Linked DNA regions of Drosophila melanogaster. The protein of the gene in region 1 purifies or fractionates together with the protein of each later gene. This does not show direct contact. Each region holds a gene or a part of one and is shown on either strand. Other genes may lie near its edges.

Region 1 (3,541 bases):
GCAAGTTTGTGTTATGCCCCGAGTGCGACAATCCGGAGACCAATTTAACTGTGTCGGCCAAAAACCAGACCATTTCGCAGTCTTGCAAGGCATGCGGCTTCCATGGTCTGCTCAAGGTTAACCATAAAGTGAACACATTCATTGTGAAGAACCCCCCGTCATTGAATCCGGCCGCCCAAGGATCATCGCTAACCGAGGGCAAACGCTCGAGGAAACAGAAGCAGAAGAACGATAACGCCGATGGCTCCATGACCAATAACTCTTTGGCCAACAACTCTGGCGGTGAATCAGATGGCGGCAACGGCACAAATCAGGCTAGCCAAACTGAGGCCGAGATTAGCGCAGCTATTCCGGAGAAAACAGCCAAGGATGACGACGATGAGGGATGGAGTGTCGATGTTTCGAAGGTACGTTGTTTAATCCGTATATACTCGCAATTAGCTTAAAGAGCTATTCATATGTATATTACTACTCCACCCCGGTAGGAGGCTATTCGTGCTCGTTTGCAAGATCTGACTGATGGTGCTAAGGGTATGACTATTTCGGATGACTATGATAAAACTGAAAAGGAGCGCATTGATATTTTCTACGAGTTGGTTAAGGACAAGCGGGACAAGAAGCAATTGGATGATGTGCAAACTCACAAGGAGCTGGTGATTGAAGCCGAACGCTTGGATATTATTAACAAGGCTCCATTGGTTCTCGCCGAGCTGCTTTTCACTGAAAACATCATCAAGGACGTGCAGAAGAATCGCCCTTTGCTTCTTCGCTTCACCCTCAATAATCCAAAAGCACAGCGCTATCTAATTGGTGGAGTGGAGCAAACTGTAGAGCTGCATAAGGGTATATTGATGAGCAAGGTTGCTGGAATCTTCAAATTGTTTTATGATCTGGACATACTCGATGAGGCCGTCATACTGGAGTGGGCACAGAAGGTTAGCAAACGACATGTCTCGAAAAATATTGCTGCCGAAATACACGAGAAAGCTATGCCATTCGTTCTCTGGCTGAAGAATGCCGAGGAAGAGTCCTCCGAAAGTGAGGAGGAGGAGGACGATGAATCCGAGGAGGATAACTACGTTTCCAGTGCCGGCCAACGTGGCGGTCAACGGGTCGTCCAACGCGGAATTCCACGCGCTGTTGCAGGCGACGAGGATGACGAGGACGACGTGAACATCGACGATATCTAAAAGGAATCAAAAAGAGAACAGCTACCCTAATCCAACCAGTAATATTTTAAAAGGGGGAAAATCAAGCGAGCAAGCATAATCTACAATTCAAACTGAAATATAAATTAGCGAGTTAAATCAACATGTGGTTTTTTTTATCTTTAGTTCTTAAGAGTGCTAATCGTATTTTGAGTCGTCGCTTTACTACCATTCAATTGTTTGCATAACATTTCCCAAGCCGCTGTAACAATAGAATTACACCAACATATTACAAAATAAAGCAAACAAAAACATTAATAACTACTTTTTTACTTGCCTTTTGGTCAGCTTAAGCTATGACCTTCAAGCAAGTTGATTTTTTTAGCCAACCATTGCGTTCATGTGGGAAAAGGGCATAAAGTTCATGCTGCCGCAAGTGATGTGCTTGTGTGAGAATAGGATATCTAAAGTAAATTCGTATTTTATAGTATATTTTCCTGGTGCATTTGGTATTTTAGTTAGTAGTTCGGCGGCGGTCACATCATACGCATCCCCTATAAATCGAAATAAGTTGAAGTTACATAAATAGGTATTAAATGTTTAAATGCCCAGTCCTAGTATAACTACAGATTTACTTTAGCAGGATCAACATGCTGCGTTCGGCGATGATGTCATCGACCCTGTCCCGGGCTCTCCAAAAGGCGACTCAGACACCGAATGCGTCGATTTCGGCGCTGCCCGCTCTGAATTTGGCCCTGGTGCGCCAACAACAAACGCTTCCAGTTGCCGAAGTGGCCCAAAATCTGCCCAAGAAGGGCTACTCTCCGTTCGGCACCAAACAGTCCTCCGTTGCGGAGTGGTCACTGGCCAGACTGGACGATCTGCTCAACTGGGGTCGCAAGGGCTCGATCTGGCCACTGACTTTCGGTTTGGCCTGCTGTGCCGTCGAAATGATGCACATCGCTGCTCCGCGTTACGACATGGATCGATATGGTGTTGTGTTCCGTGCATCTCCACGTCAGGCCGATGTCATCATCGTCGCTGGCACGCTGACCAACAAAATGGCACCGGCCCTGCGAAAGGTCTACGACCAAATGCCCGAGCCACGTTGGGTCATCTCCATGGGCAGCTGTGCCAACGGCGGCGGCTACTACCATTACTCGTACTCCGTCGTCCGTGGCTGCGATAGGATAATCCCCGTCGACATATACGTACCCGGTTGTCCGCCAACCGCCGAGGCGCTCATGTACGGCGTTTTGCAGCTGCAGAAGAAGGTTAAGCGGATGAAGACGCTCCAGATGTGGTATAGGAAGTAAGGCAACGATCGGAACTTATATTTAAAATGTGAAACATCAAACGACATACGATTTTGCGAACAGAAATCATATTAAATATCGTTCTGTTAACGTTCAGTTGTTGTATACATTGTTTGTTGGATCACGAGGATATTGCAAATAAATGCCTTTCGATATAAATACAAACATTCAAGCTGTGCTTCTGTATCCAAACGTCAGCTTGAATCGTACGTGTGTTTGCCAACGGTCGTAATGAAAATCGTGAATTCGAAAAAAGTTTTGTTTCCCTTCAAAATGAGCGTGAAGTTAACGGCTCCTTCCTCTTTTTTTTATCGTGAATTGTATACACAACCATATCATTTAGTTGTCATAGAAACGATCGCACCAACCACAGGACAATCTGCTGTTTTTACTTAATTTTTCTGTATTCATTTCAAGGTCCTGACGTTTTCGGGACACAAAGTGCAAGAATATAAGCTCAGTTTAAAGTGTTTAAAATAGTTATATTTTTTAATTGGCAGATTTTTTTTTAACGCAACTGCAGAGTAAGCAAACCCTTAAAATACAATTATTCATGCTAACGTCCCAATAAACCCAACGAAAAATACAAAAAGAAATAAATATTTGTATAATTTACATATGCAATATAATTTGACTAGCCATTAACTAGTCTTGTGAATTCTGCCCAAGACTAATCTCCCCCATTTCGGTACTGGAAAGGCTTGGCGACAAGGTCGTGGACCTGGAGTTGCAAGCATTCTCATCCAGATTATAGTAATTCACTATTCGCTGTGGTGGTCGGTTGGAGATGACCTCTACGATTTGATTCACAACCCATTTGGTCAATTTGATGACGGCCACGTGTGCCGCAAACTGCAGGATCATGGCTCCAAAGCCCTTGTAGAGGCCACTAACTCCCTCGGAGACAATCGTTGTCTGATAGCAATCGACGACTCCTTGATAGTTTGTTAGAATGGGTACGACATCGTAGCCATTGTCGAGGTTGTCGATTATAGTTCGTGTTCCCTGCAATTGCAGACGGTGTAGAATCGTTTCGAACGGGAAGAACATGACCTCAGTGGTTATGATAGCAATAAG
Region 2 (7,214 bases), on another chromosome or scaffold:
CTTAATGCCATTTTTTGGGGTAAAAGATTTAATGTACACTTGTTTTCGAAACCGATTAAAAAAAAAAGAAAAAGTTGGCATATCACGCTAGATTGAATAAAGTAATTGCTCGTATTTATTGGATTTGTATATTTAGCGAATTTTTTTTTTTCAAATTTAATGCTTACTGGTGGTAAACTGTTTAAATAAAGAAAATTAATATGCAACATATCGGTATTGTTATTGATATCGCCGCTAAACCTTTGATTTAACATCACTCGAAATATTTATTGAAGTGAAAACAGAAGCAATCGGCAAGTAAAATGAACAACTTATAACGTGTAATTAAATTTATATATAAATTTCTTTTAGTTTGTATGTTAACTAGCTATTTAATTGCGAATAAGTCCAATGTTCAATTGAATGTCCGTCCGTCCGTCTGACCGTACATATTTTTTTAAAGATATTTGTAAAAAGTTGAGACAAGGCATGCATCCCGACATCTGAGTAACAGGTATCTGGTTATTTTATAGATGCTATGTATAGTTAAACAACTATTTTACAAAAATGAAATTGCTCACAGATTAGTATTGCGAGAAATCTTTTTACTTTCGAGAATTCAATTGCAAAATTTTAAGGTTTTTATGGAATGTTTTTTCACCCCTTTTGTCATAATTATTTGATTACCCTCGAATCCGGACCTTCTCAGATGGCGTAAAGTCCAGATCGTAAATCTGAGCCAAGAGTTGACAGCTCAATTGCCAATTAGACCAATGCAACAGCTCACTCCATTAATTGAAAAAATAAACAAAAAGTGAAGCGTGCAGTAAAATTCGGGACCAATAACATTTGCTTTTTGTTTTGATTTGCCATCATCAGGTTTCAGGTGCATTAATTCTGTTTGCTTGTTTAATTTTTTGCTTCTTTCGGACCATTGCCTGCATACAAATGAAGTTTGGCAACAAACAGCATTTGTTGCCTATTGGTTTTTGCGTAGATTTTAAACTGAATTACAAAAATACTTCCTATACGGGTCCCTGGCCTGTTTTCAAAACAACCAGCAGCTAAAATCTAACAATTTTGACCATTTCGGACACGATGACAAGGTTGCCGATGCCTTTGGAATTTCTAATTCGCAAGGGAACGGTGTTATTTAAAAATTCTATCAATATTGTTATTGTCTATCAGTGGGCCACAGACAACGTGTGCTGCCAATATTTTATTACTTTGTTGCCCATGAGGCGCATTTGAACATTTCGAACGCGCCAAAATCGGACTCCTGATAAGCAGATAGAGATAGTTGTCTACCGACCCTATCGCTATCTCACCCCAGGTGATTAAGTGGTAAGTGGACAGGTCTGACTGATAAGAGCGATTTGGAAAACAATATCGAAAACAACTCGGCTTTCAGTGGGTTAAAATGCCATCACTAGTCGAGGGATTGATTCGATGGGGAATGTTGATGTTGCCACCGGTAAATGTTGCCAAGTGGAAATTAATATTTTTAGGGGGGCTCTCTTATAATATGGGATGTAAATATGACTTATTTAGGTAATACAGCCTTAAAATCATAGGTACATTATAAATATAAGATGTAAGATAAGAGTTAATAAAGATGGAACAACTAGGCGAAAGTAAGTATGCAGATTTTAAGTTATTCCATATTAGTAAGTAGTAGGCTATAAGTTAAATTGCATTGCACTCGGCTAAATTTTCCGTACTAATTGTGTGTTCTATAAAAATCCAGCTTGTATCTTACTGCTTTTTAGCCCATAATCATAAAAGTGAAACCCAATCCACGTTTTTTTTCGCGAATTCACAACCCTGACCACCTGTACATAGTAAGTGATGAAGCACACGATTCAATGAAATATTCCCATTATAATAAACAAAGAAGTGTAAATATTTTAATTACGATTTTATGCACCACCATCTACGTGCAATCTGCACCTATATACATAAGTATATATCTATATATGTACATATGTATGCTTTCCCTGCATCCTCATCGAAAACGTGATCAGTTGGGGTCCGAGAGATTTTTTGATGATTTACAAAAACCCATTAAAATAATACGAAGTTTGATATTAATGCTGATTACTAAAGACCCACTTCAATTACACTTAATGACTCGAAATTACAAAACGACAAATCTAATTGAATTAAATTTATAAACATACAATGCGGTTGCAGTGATAGAAGTAATAAATACAATAATAGCTTTCTATGTAAGAGATTAAAATATAATAATTTTTCTTTTAATATAAATGTAAAATTTTTGGATCTCACGCTACTCTTTAGATTAATAATTTGAGTTGGCTAATATAACCGTGCAACCAAAAATGCATTATTAACTCAATCGCAAACAAATTAGTTTGTTTATTATTTCATAGAGTAATTGTTTATAATATTTTGGAACTGGAAACACGGCCGAGCTGGGTTCTTCAGAACTTGAGCCAAGGCCCGGGATTAATTTCCATTGAATTAGCTAAGGGTGAGAATTTGTTTTTAGCTTAATCTCGATGCGACTGGCAGGTGGATCGTAGACAGATATAACCGTTAATTAGCATTAATTTCGATCGAACTTATTTTTATACACCGCAGAAGTAATACATATTTCGGGCAATATTTTTTCACATCGGTGCCAAGAGGCGCGAGGCGTCTTAATAATCACTTGCTAAATGGATCTACAATCTGCCCGCTAACGAATCAGTCATCTATATACAATCTGCGAGTATCCAAAACTGCGCGCATTAGGGCGTATTTTTCCGATTCCTGGGCCCAGATACAAAGCCGAATTTCGCATACGGCCGAAAAGCCCTTATCAGTCTAGACCCCTAATACTGTGGCTAAGAACTGGAGAATTACCGTCTTTTGGACTCTGATAAGCGAAAAAAGGCCTGCGTTCGCTTTACGTTTTCTAATTATAACCGCGGCAGCGTAAATTGCTTTGGAAAATGTAGCTTTTCCTATTTTATTGTTATTATTATTATTATTATTATTCACACACACGCACGTTAGCGATTTAAAATATTTCGAGGCACACGCGCTAATTTTTTCGGGAGCGAATCATTCAGATCGTTGTTAACTGCAGCGCGGCTCAAACACGAATGATCGCAAAAGACGACGAGAAATATACATATGGCAAAATAAACGGAAAACCCGAAGCACCATGCCGAACTATAAGTACTCTTTTAATTGAAATTCGAAATGTTATAATACTAGTAAAGCTATGTTCTACAAAAACAAGAAGATTTCCTCATTATAATTCTGAGCATTCATAATTGAATTAAAATTAATTTTAATTTTTTCACTAGAACGGATATGTTCCAAGAGTAGTTAATTTATTTATTTATTTACTTTTGAGTTACTCTTCGTAAGGGTATTAAAGGCAAAGAGAGATGGTCGAATAGGAGCAACAACAACACCAATAACCACGGCCGGCAAAACAAACGAAAAGCCCGCAAATTTAAAGGGTGGGGAGCAGAGATAAGGAAGAGAGAGGTAGAAAGCAACAGTGATAGTATTTGTGTGGGCGAAAAAGTGCGTGAGCAGGTTGAAAAAAAATCAGCTGATTGCATGTGAGCTATTAAAGAGAGCGAAATGAGAGCAGAAAAAGGAGAGTGAAATTTATACATATGTTGCTTGTTTATGCCTGTCAAATGTAGGTATGTTTGTATTGTCGTTATCTAGGTAGGTTTATGAGACAACAACAATGCCATAATAAATATTATAAATACATATTTACATATGAAGCTATGGTAATCTCTATAGAATTACATCCTCAATTGTCAAAAGCAGTGATCTGTGCAGATATTTAACTTATCAAACGCACAACTGAAGTCAACAAACAAAAAACAATGTGTTTTATTATAACAATAATATAAACAATGTGTTTTATTATTTATTTTTAGACAGGGTGATTCAATAGAAATATCTGACACGAAATTTACTCTTTATACACAAATACGTACATATATATGTATAAGAACGCGTTTGACACACTGACAAATGTTTATAATTTTTTGTATATCCTGACCCACTGCATGTGTATAATGTAATGTTACAATACCAGAAATATTTTTGTATCGAAGGAGGTTATTCATGACAGTCGCATTCGCCTGAAATCCCATTATCTTAACCAATCTAAAAACAAATTACTAACTTATATACCCTCGGTACTAATTAGTTTACCCAAGCTGTTACATTCAAACCAAATTAGCTAGTGGTCCGCACTTTATAACCGCAAAAATGTGTATCCATTATGAACAGTTTCACCACAAGCTCACTTTTATTTCACTGCTTATCGGTGTTTTTGGTCCGTAGAAATAGTTAATCCTTAGTTGGCCGATTTCGAACAGATAACACTAAGTTTTCCCGATGCTCTCGGTTTTACAGCTCGAAGGCGACTGCTAACTGAATTCTTTGTCCGTAGAACCCAAGCCGTGCCGAATTAAACGATCCGCGGGCTGGAAATTGCAATTAAGCCACGCACATTAGATAAAAAGTTTGCGGTGTGACAAGCAAGGCAGTTACTTTTCAACTGGGACACGGTTAGCTTATGTCTTATTTGCCAACAAATATTTATAAACTAGTGCCAAGCAAGAAGAGTGGTTTATATGACGGTTTAATTACCGCTAAGAGGCTAAGATATCCCCAAGGTTGTCAAAGTAATTATGAGGTAAAATTATTAGTGCCACCTAAATAGTATGAATAATTCGAGATCATAGTAGTTATAACCGTAGTAGCATTTACCGATATTTGATAATCAGATAATTAAAATATGTTTGGTATGCAATGGCCACGAACACGGTCTATTGGTTATGAGGTCAATTATTTACATATTTAGGGTTAACTTTAGGTTAACAGGGCTTTTTAAAAACTATAGAAAAAACTGTTACTTTCCAAATCAAATGTTTTTCTTCAGTCTGGCAGCTTTGTTTGACGGTAGTTTTTGATATCAACCTGTCAATTCTAGTATATTCCAATTGCTACGCCACGGTCACACTGTCGTGGGGCAAAATAAAAAACTGGCCTGTTCCGAAATAAAATAGGATTTTAAGCGTAAATTAACCGAATCGAGTTGGTCCAGTGTGCCGGTGCGAAATGGCCGCCATAGTACTAACCCGTAATCTCCAGCTGGCCAGTGAGTACCGTGCCTGCGGTCGAAAACCGCCAGGCAATCCAATTATGTAATACGATGTTTGTGGCTAACTTTTGGCTCATTCTCTGTCCAATTCCGGATACTTAGAGCACCACGGCAGTGGCGTGGTTGGAGTTTTGTGCCTGCGTGGATATTCCGCCGCTGCTGCGCCGCCGGAAGATGGTCCACGTCCACTGAAGACCACCAATCCGGCTGCCATGAAGCGCGGAACTGGCGGACGTAGCAGTTTCAATGGGATCGTGGCGACCGTTTTCGGTGCCACCGGTTTCGTGGGCCGCTATGTCTGCAACAAACTGGGCAAATCTGGCACCCAGATGATCCTGCCCTATCGCGGTGACGATTCGGATGTTATCCGTCTTAAGGTCACCGGTGATCTTGGCCAGGTACTCTTTCACTTCTACAACCTGGAGGATCCCGCCTCCATTCGTGACGCAGTCAAGCACTCGAACGTGGTCATCAACCTGGTGGGCAGGGACTTCGAGACCAAGAACTTCAAGTTCAAGGATGTCCATGTCAACGGAGCGGAGAGGATCGCTAGGTGAACATCATAGCCAGCATTATTTGCCTGCCCACTTCTTCATTCTAACTTTGCATGACGTAAACCACTTTTATTTCTTCAGGATTGCGCGCGAGGCTGGCGTGGAGCGCTTAATCCACCTGTCCTCTTTGAACGTGGAGGCCAATCCCAAGGATCTGTACGTCAAGGGCGGCAGCGAGTGGCTGAAAAGCAAGTACGAGGGTGAGCTTCGCGTACGCGACGCCTTTCCCAACGCCACGATCATCCGCCCTGCGGATATCTACGGATCCGAGGATCGCTTCTTGCGCTACTACGCCCACATCTGGCGCCGTCAGTTCCGCTCGATGCCGCTGTGGCACAAGGGAGAGAAGACCGTCAAGCAGCCCGTCTACGTTTCGGACGTGGCCCAGGCCATCATCAACGCCGCCAAGGATCCGGACAGCGCTGGCCGCATCTACCAGGCTGTGGGGTAAGTCAATCTCCGAGTCCAAGTATTTGTACCATGTACATTTTCTTAATTTCCTTTATTCTCTGCAGACCTAAACGCTATCAGTTGAGCGAGCTGGTCGACTGGTTCCACCGCCTGATGCGCAAGGACCAGAAGCGCTGGGGCTACATGCGCTACGACATGCGCTGGGACCCCACCTTCCTGCTGAAAGCCAAGCTGAACAGCTTCATCTGCCCCGGCACCCCGATTGGCGGTCTGCATCCCGCTCGCATCGAACGCGAGGCTGTCACCGACAAGGTTCTGACTGGTGTCCCCACGCTTGAGGATTTGGGCGTCACGCTGACCACAATGGAGCAGCAGGTGCCATGGGAGCTGCGTCCCTACCGCGCCGCCCTCTACTACGACGCCGAGCTGGGCGAGTTCGAGACTCCCTCGCCGCCCAAGTGCATCGAGGCGCGCGATGAACTGCGTCTGTTTGCCTAAGCGGAGCGAAGTAGCTGTCTGTGTTGATTGGAAATTTTTAGTTGGAATTGTTTAAGGCGATGCGTCAATAAAGAGAAGTCGAAAGACCCAATGACAACGAAGGAAACTTATATTTCCAAATATTATATAGACATTGATATATGTATTTATTTCGTGCATTTAAATATAAAAAAATTTATAAATACTTTTGAAAAAAAAGTCAAATGGCTAGAAAAGTTTGATGTCGGAAAAAAGATTGGCAGCTCGAAATACCTTTGGTATTTTTCGGTATCTTATTGAGGTGACATCGCTCCGGCAACTAAATCAAAACAAATGAAATCGCTGTCATCGTCTGGCAACGCTTCGCCCGTCCGATTTTTCTTCCTTTGCGACCAGGAGCTTTTCTGCAGCAGTTTCCTCCGAAACTTACGCCCGTGCAGATTTATGGCCGGAAAATCATAGTACGGAAAATTCGATTTCCCAAGTTTTCTGAGTCTGTGTGTGTGTGTGTTTTTGGTGTGTGTAAAGATTTTCAACTTTTCAGCTTGGTTAAGCGGTGAAAAAAGAATATATCAACAACAACACAAGCGCGCGCCCGCCTCTCTTTTCGCGTTTTTGTGCGTGTGAGTGAGAGTGAGTGTGAT
Region 3 (3,377 bases), on another chromosome or scaffold:
TGGCCAATAGTTCCAGAAATCCTGGTACGGCATGGGTCTCCTTAACATACTCCTCTGGTGTGAGTTTGGACTCAAGAGTGCGATCCAGACCTTCAGGTAATAAAAATATACTTATAGCATTGAATGGTAAGTAAAAAATAGTACCAACCTTTCCTTGGTCTCAGGTGATAGTTTGTCATGGCGACCACACCCTGTTCTTCTGTCTCGTTAGCCTTTGCATTTGCTTTGTCCTCCGAATCGGCCTCGTCCAACTTCGTTTTTTTAAGGTTTAGACTGAGAGTCTGACTCTGGCAGGACAATTGTTCGCCCAGGAGTGGAAATACTTGCGGTGCCAGTTGGTGGAGTTGGTGTTGAATGCGATGGGCGGCTGCATAGCCTGAGAATTGGTTGAGGGGAGAACTTAAGTATATGTGCTGTGCCTCAGATGAAAAACTCTCCACCACAAAATCCTTGTACACCTGACGAGAAGATATATGATAAGGCGTGAAGTGCACCACAAGCGCCACTTCAGTTAACTTCTCTTCGCCTAACTTTTTAAGCCTTTTGCCGTGTGTAAGCAGTGCTGGTAGATAGTTCTCACTGGGCACATCAAGGAAAACAAAGGACAGTGCAGTTTCACTGGCTTCGGTGACGTCGACTGAACGCACCACCTTTCCATCAGGCAGTGTGATATCGTTGCCATTCTTTAGCTGTCCCAGAAGTGGTCCTGGCGGCACACCTTGCTCCACGCACTTCACCAAGTTTAGGGCGCCAGCTCGCGGTTTCAGCTGACAAATGTAGTTAATTACACTTTTCGTCGGATCTTCCGAATTGATCAGGGGCAGAGAGTCCACCTTCAAGATGGAATCCTCAAAACAGGCGCCCTCAGAACAATCGTTTGGCCGCACCTGGAGATTCTTTAGCACCACGAAACGTCGCATTGACTGCAGCATAGAGCCGAGATGAGGCGGTCCATGGAGTCCAATGTCGCGCACTCCGGCATCTTGGATGGTGAGCGTCAAACCTGGTAACCCTCCGCAGGAAGCCCACGTATTTTGTGTAAGGAAAATTTGTTCCAGGCGTGATAGGCGGGTTTTGTGCTCGTGAGCTAGTCTCTGGGTTCCCTCGCCGCAGTTGAAGAGATAGCGTGCCTGGTCCGTAAACAAATAAACAGCGGCAGGCGCTCCATTGGCGCCAGAGCCCAGAACCTGAAGATTTACTGTTCCCGGCACCACGGAGGCCAGCTTTTTTCTAAGCACATTGGGTTCCCGCTCATAGCGAGGTCCTGTTAAAGGATCCTTGGCCGAGGCAATTGTGGCCGCCATCAAATTACTGGTTGTGAGCGTTCGCAAGGTTCTGTAGATCGGCGACCTGGCTGATTTTACTAAATACATTCGTATTTCGTCAGAGTCTGTAGTCGCGGGCTTCTAATAAACTGAAAAAGCGGGGAATTCGCTGAAATCATTCGCACAAATTTCGTCAGCACCGGCAACGTGTGTCTGCGAACAGCTGTTGCTATTAGTGATGGCACGCTGATGGTTGCGATACATCGAAATGGGACGATAGTAAAAAATAGAAGAAAAGTGCTAAAAGGAATTAAATTTAAGTTAAAATGATTCTTGTCTAGAAAATTGATTATATTTTTCTGTTGTATTTTACAGTTTTGGAATTTCTAGATATGTTTTAATAAATAAGGGCAGTAAATTATTCCAACTTTATATTATTATTAACCATATCAATGAATGTTGAATTAAAAATTAATATGTTAGATTAAGTAAATTCCTATTTGCGTACTTGAAATCGGTCTTAGGCAACACTGAATTTCAGGTATTTAAGCCTCGAACGTGATTGGTCACTCTAATGCCCACGTGCGTTTTGTTTGGCCTCCGCCGGCGGTAAATTCAACCAAATTACCTGAAATTCCAAGGATTCCCCGGTAAACAAGAGATCAGCGACTGCTACACCATGGTCTTCTTCACGTGCAACATCTGCGGCGAGTCGGTAAAGAAACCGGCGGTGGAAAAGCACTACCAGACGCGCTGTCGCGGCAAAGACAAGAACGTGTCCTGCATGGACTGCCTAAAGGACTTCTATGGCGAGGAGTATGTGGCACACATTAAGTGCATCTCAGAGGCCCAGAAGTACGCCAGCCAAAGCCAAGGCTTTGCCGCCAAGGAGCCCCGCAACAAGAACGCTCAAAAGCAAGAGAGTTGGATGGACATCATTCGGTCGATCCTCGACAGCAGCGAGTACAATTTAACTCCAGCCGTTCGATCCGCCTTCCAAAAGCTCCAGAGCGTCGACAACGTGCCCCGCAAGAAGGCTAAGTTCGAAAACTTCGTGGGAAACTGCATGCGCATGCCCCGCAACCAGGCCACCCAGGTGTGGGATATTCTCGAGAAGGAGCTGAACAAGATGAAGGAGGCAAAGCAAGCGGAGCTGGCCAGAGCCAAGGCGGAAAAGATTGCTGAAATACAGCAGAAGCAGAAGGCAGAGGTCGAGGAAGAGGCGCCACCCAAGAAGAAGGCCAAAGTGGAGACCACAGAAGATGCTGCTGCCGAGGAGACCTCCAACGGCGTGACCAGCGACTTTGATTGGGCCGCCCAGCTAACTAAGATCGTTACCAAGCAAGCAGATGGCATTTTCCTGGAAAAACTTCGTAAGAAGCTGCTCAAGAAGTATGCCAAGCATCTGTCCGTCGAGGATTTGAACGAAAAACAGGCGAAGAAGTTTCAGAAACGCTTTGATAAGCAACTTAAGCTCGCCGATTCCTTGGAAGTCGAGGGTGAAATAGTTAAGATCGCTAGCTAGCCGAATATCCCACCTTTAGTCATAGTTTAATTATAACAAAAGGACAATAAACGTGTAAGCTGGAAGTGGTGCCCATGTATTAATCCCACATCTAGGACTTGTACTTTAGATACTGCATACATTGCTTCAAATGATTGCGTGTCTCTTCGCACTGGGCTGTTTGACGGAAGCGCTTGGTGGGACAGTGCAGGATCATCTCGTTGGCCACGCACTCGAGGACCAGTCCGGGATACGGATGACAGCCAAGACGCGAAAGACGTTTGGATAGCTGCTTCACACCTTTGTGCGGCATCAGTGAGAGCGCTGCAAAGGGTAGTTCATTTAGAGATGATTTAATAAACAACTCGCGCAGCTTGCACACCATGCTTGTCGCACTTGACATAGGTGTCATAGAGAAGCTTAATGTCCGCATCGTTGACCAGGTCGCTTTCCAAGTGCTCCTTTACCTCATTGAGATTCAGTGAACGGCGGTCCCTGCCCAAGAAGTTCGTACTGTTGAAACTGCACTCTGCGGTGCACTGATTAAGCAATTAGTTTGGTACTTGTTTACGCTCCTCAACCGAACTCACAAACATGTACGTCTGCTC

The links. The genes of interacting proteins can lie anywhere in the genome.
Region 2: the proteins of ND-20 (region 1) and ND-39 purify together in Drosophila melanogaster (affinity purification with mass spectrometry, with the first as the bait; one large-scale study listed by BioGRID). This does not show direct contact.
Region 3: the proteins of ND-20 (region 1) and CG12909 purify together in Drosophila melanogaster (affinity purification with mass spectrometry, with the first as the bait; one large-scale study listed by BioGRID). This does not show direct contact.

What each region holds. Positions count from the first base shown.
Region 1 is NC_004354.4:15,984,934-15,988,474, reverse strand, and holds ND-20 (NADH dehydrogenase (ubiquinone) 20 kDa subunit), read left to right. Parts: upstream 1-1,666; 5' UTR 1,667-1,737; exon of another isoform or gene 1,738-1,791; 5' UTR 1,792-1,798; coding exon 1,799-2,464; 3' UTR 2,465-3,002; downstream 3,003-3,541. Other genes in the region: eIF5 (eukaryotic translation initiation factor 5), read left to right, coding at 1-407, 486-1,190; Slc25A46a (solute carrier family 25 member 46a), read right to left, coding at 3,110-3,541.
Region 2 is NT_037436.4:20,490,395-20,497,608, forward strand, and holds ND-39 (NADH dehydrogenase (ubiquinone) 39 kDa subunit), read left to right. Parts: upstream 1-1,687; 5' UTR 1,688-1,820; intron 1,821-2,847; exon of another isoform or gene 2,848-3,096; intron 3,097-4,268; exon of another isoform or gene 4,269-4,527; intron 4,528-4,952; exon of another isoform or gene 4,953-4,957; 5' UTR 4,958-5,085; coding exon 5,086-5,125; intron 5,126-5,230; coding exon 5,231-5,681; intron 5,682-5,763; coding exon 5,764-6,129; intron 6,130-6,197; coding exon 6,198-6,591; 3' UTR 6,592-6,690; downstream 6,691-7,214.
Region 3 is NT_033778.4:10,308,291-10,311,667, forward strand, and holds CG12909 (uncharacterized protein), read left to right. Parts: upstream 1-1,822; 5' UTR 1,823-1,944; coding exon 1,945-2,790; 3' UTR 2,791-2,853; downstream 2,854-3,377. Other genes in the region: RNaseZ (ribonuclease Z), read right to left, coding at 1-90, 149-1,373; Obp46a (Odorant-binding protein 46a), read right to left, coding at 2,882-3,093, 3,152-3,308, 3,360-3,377.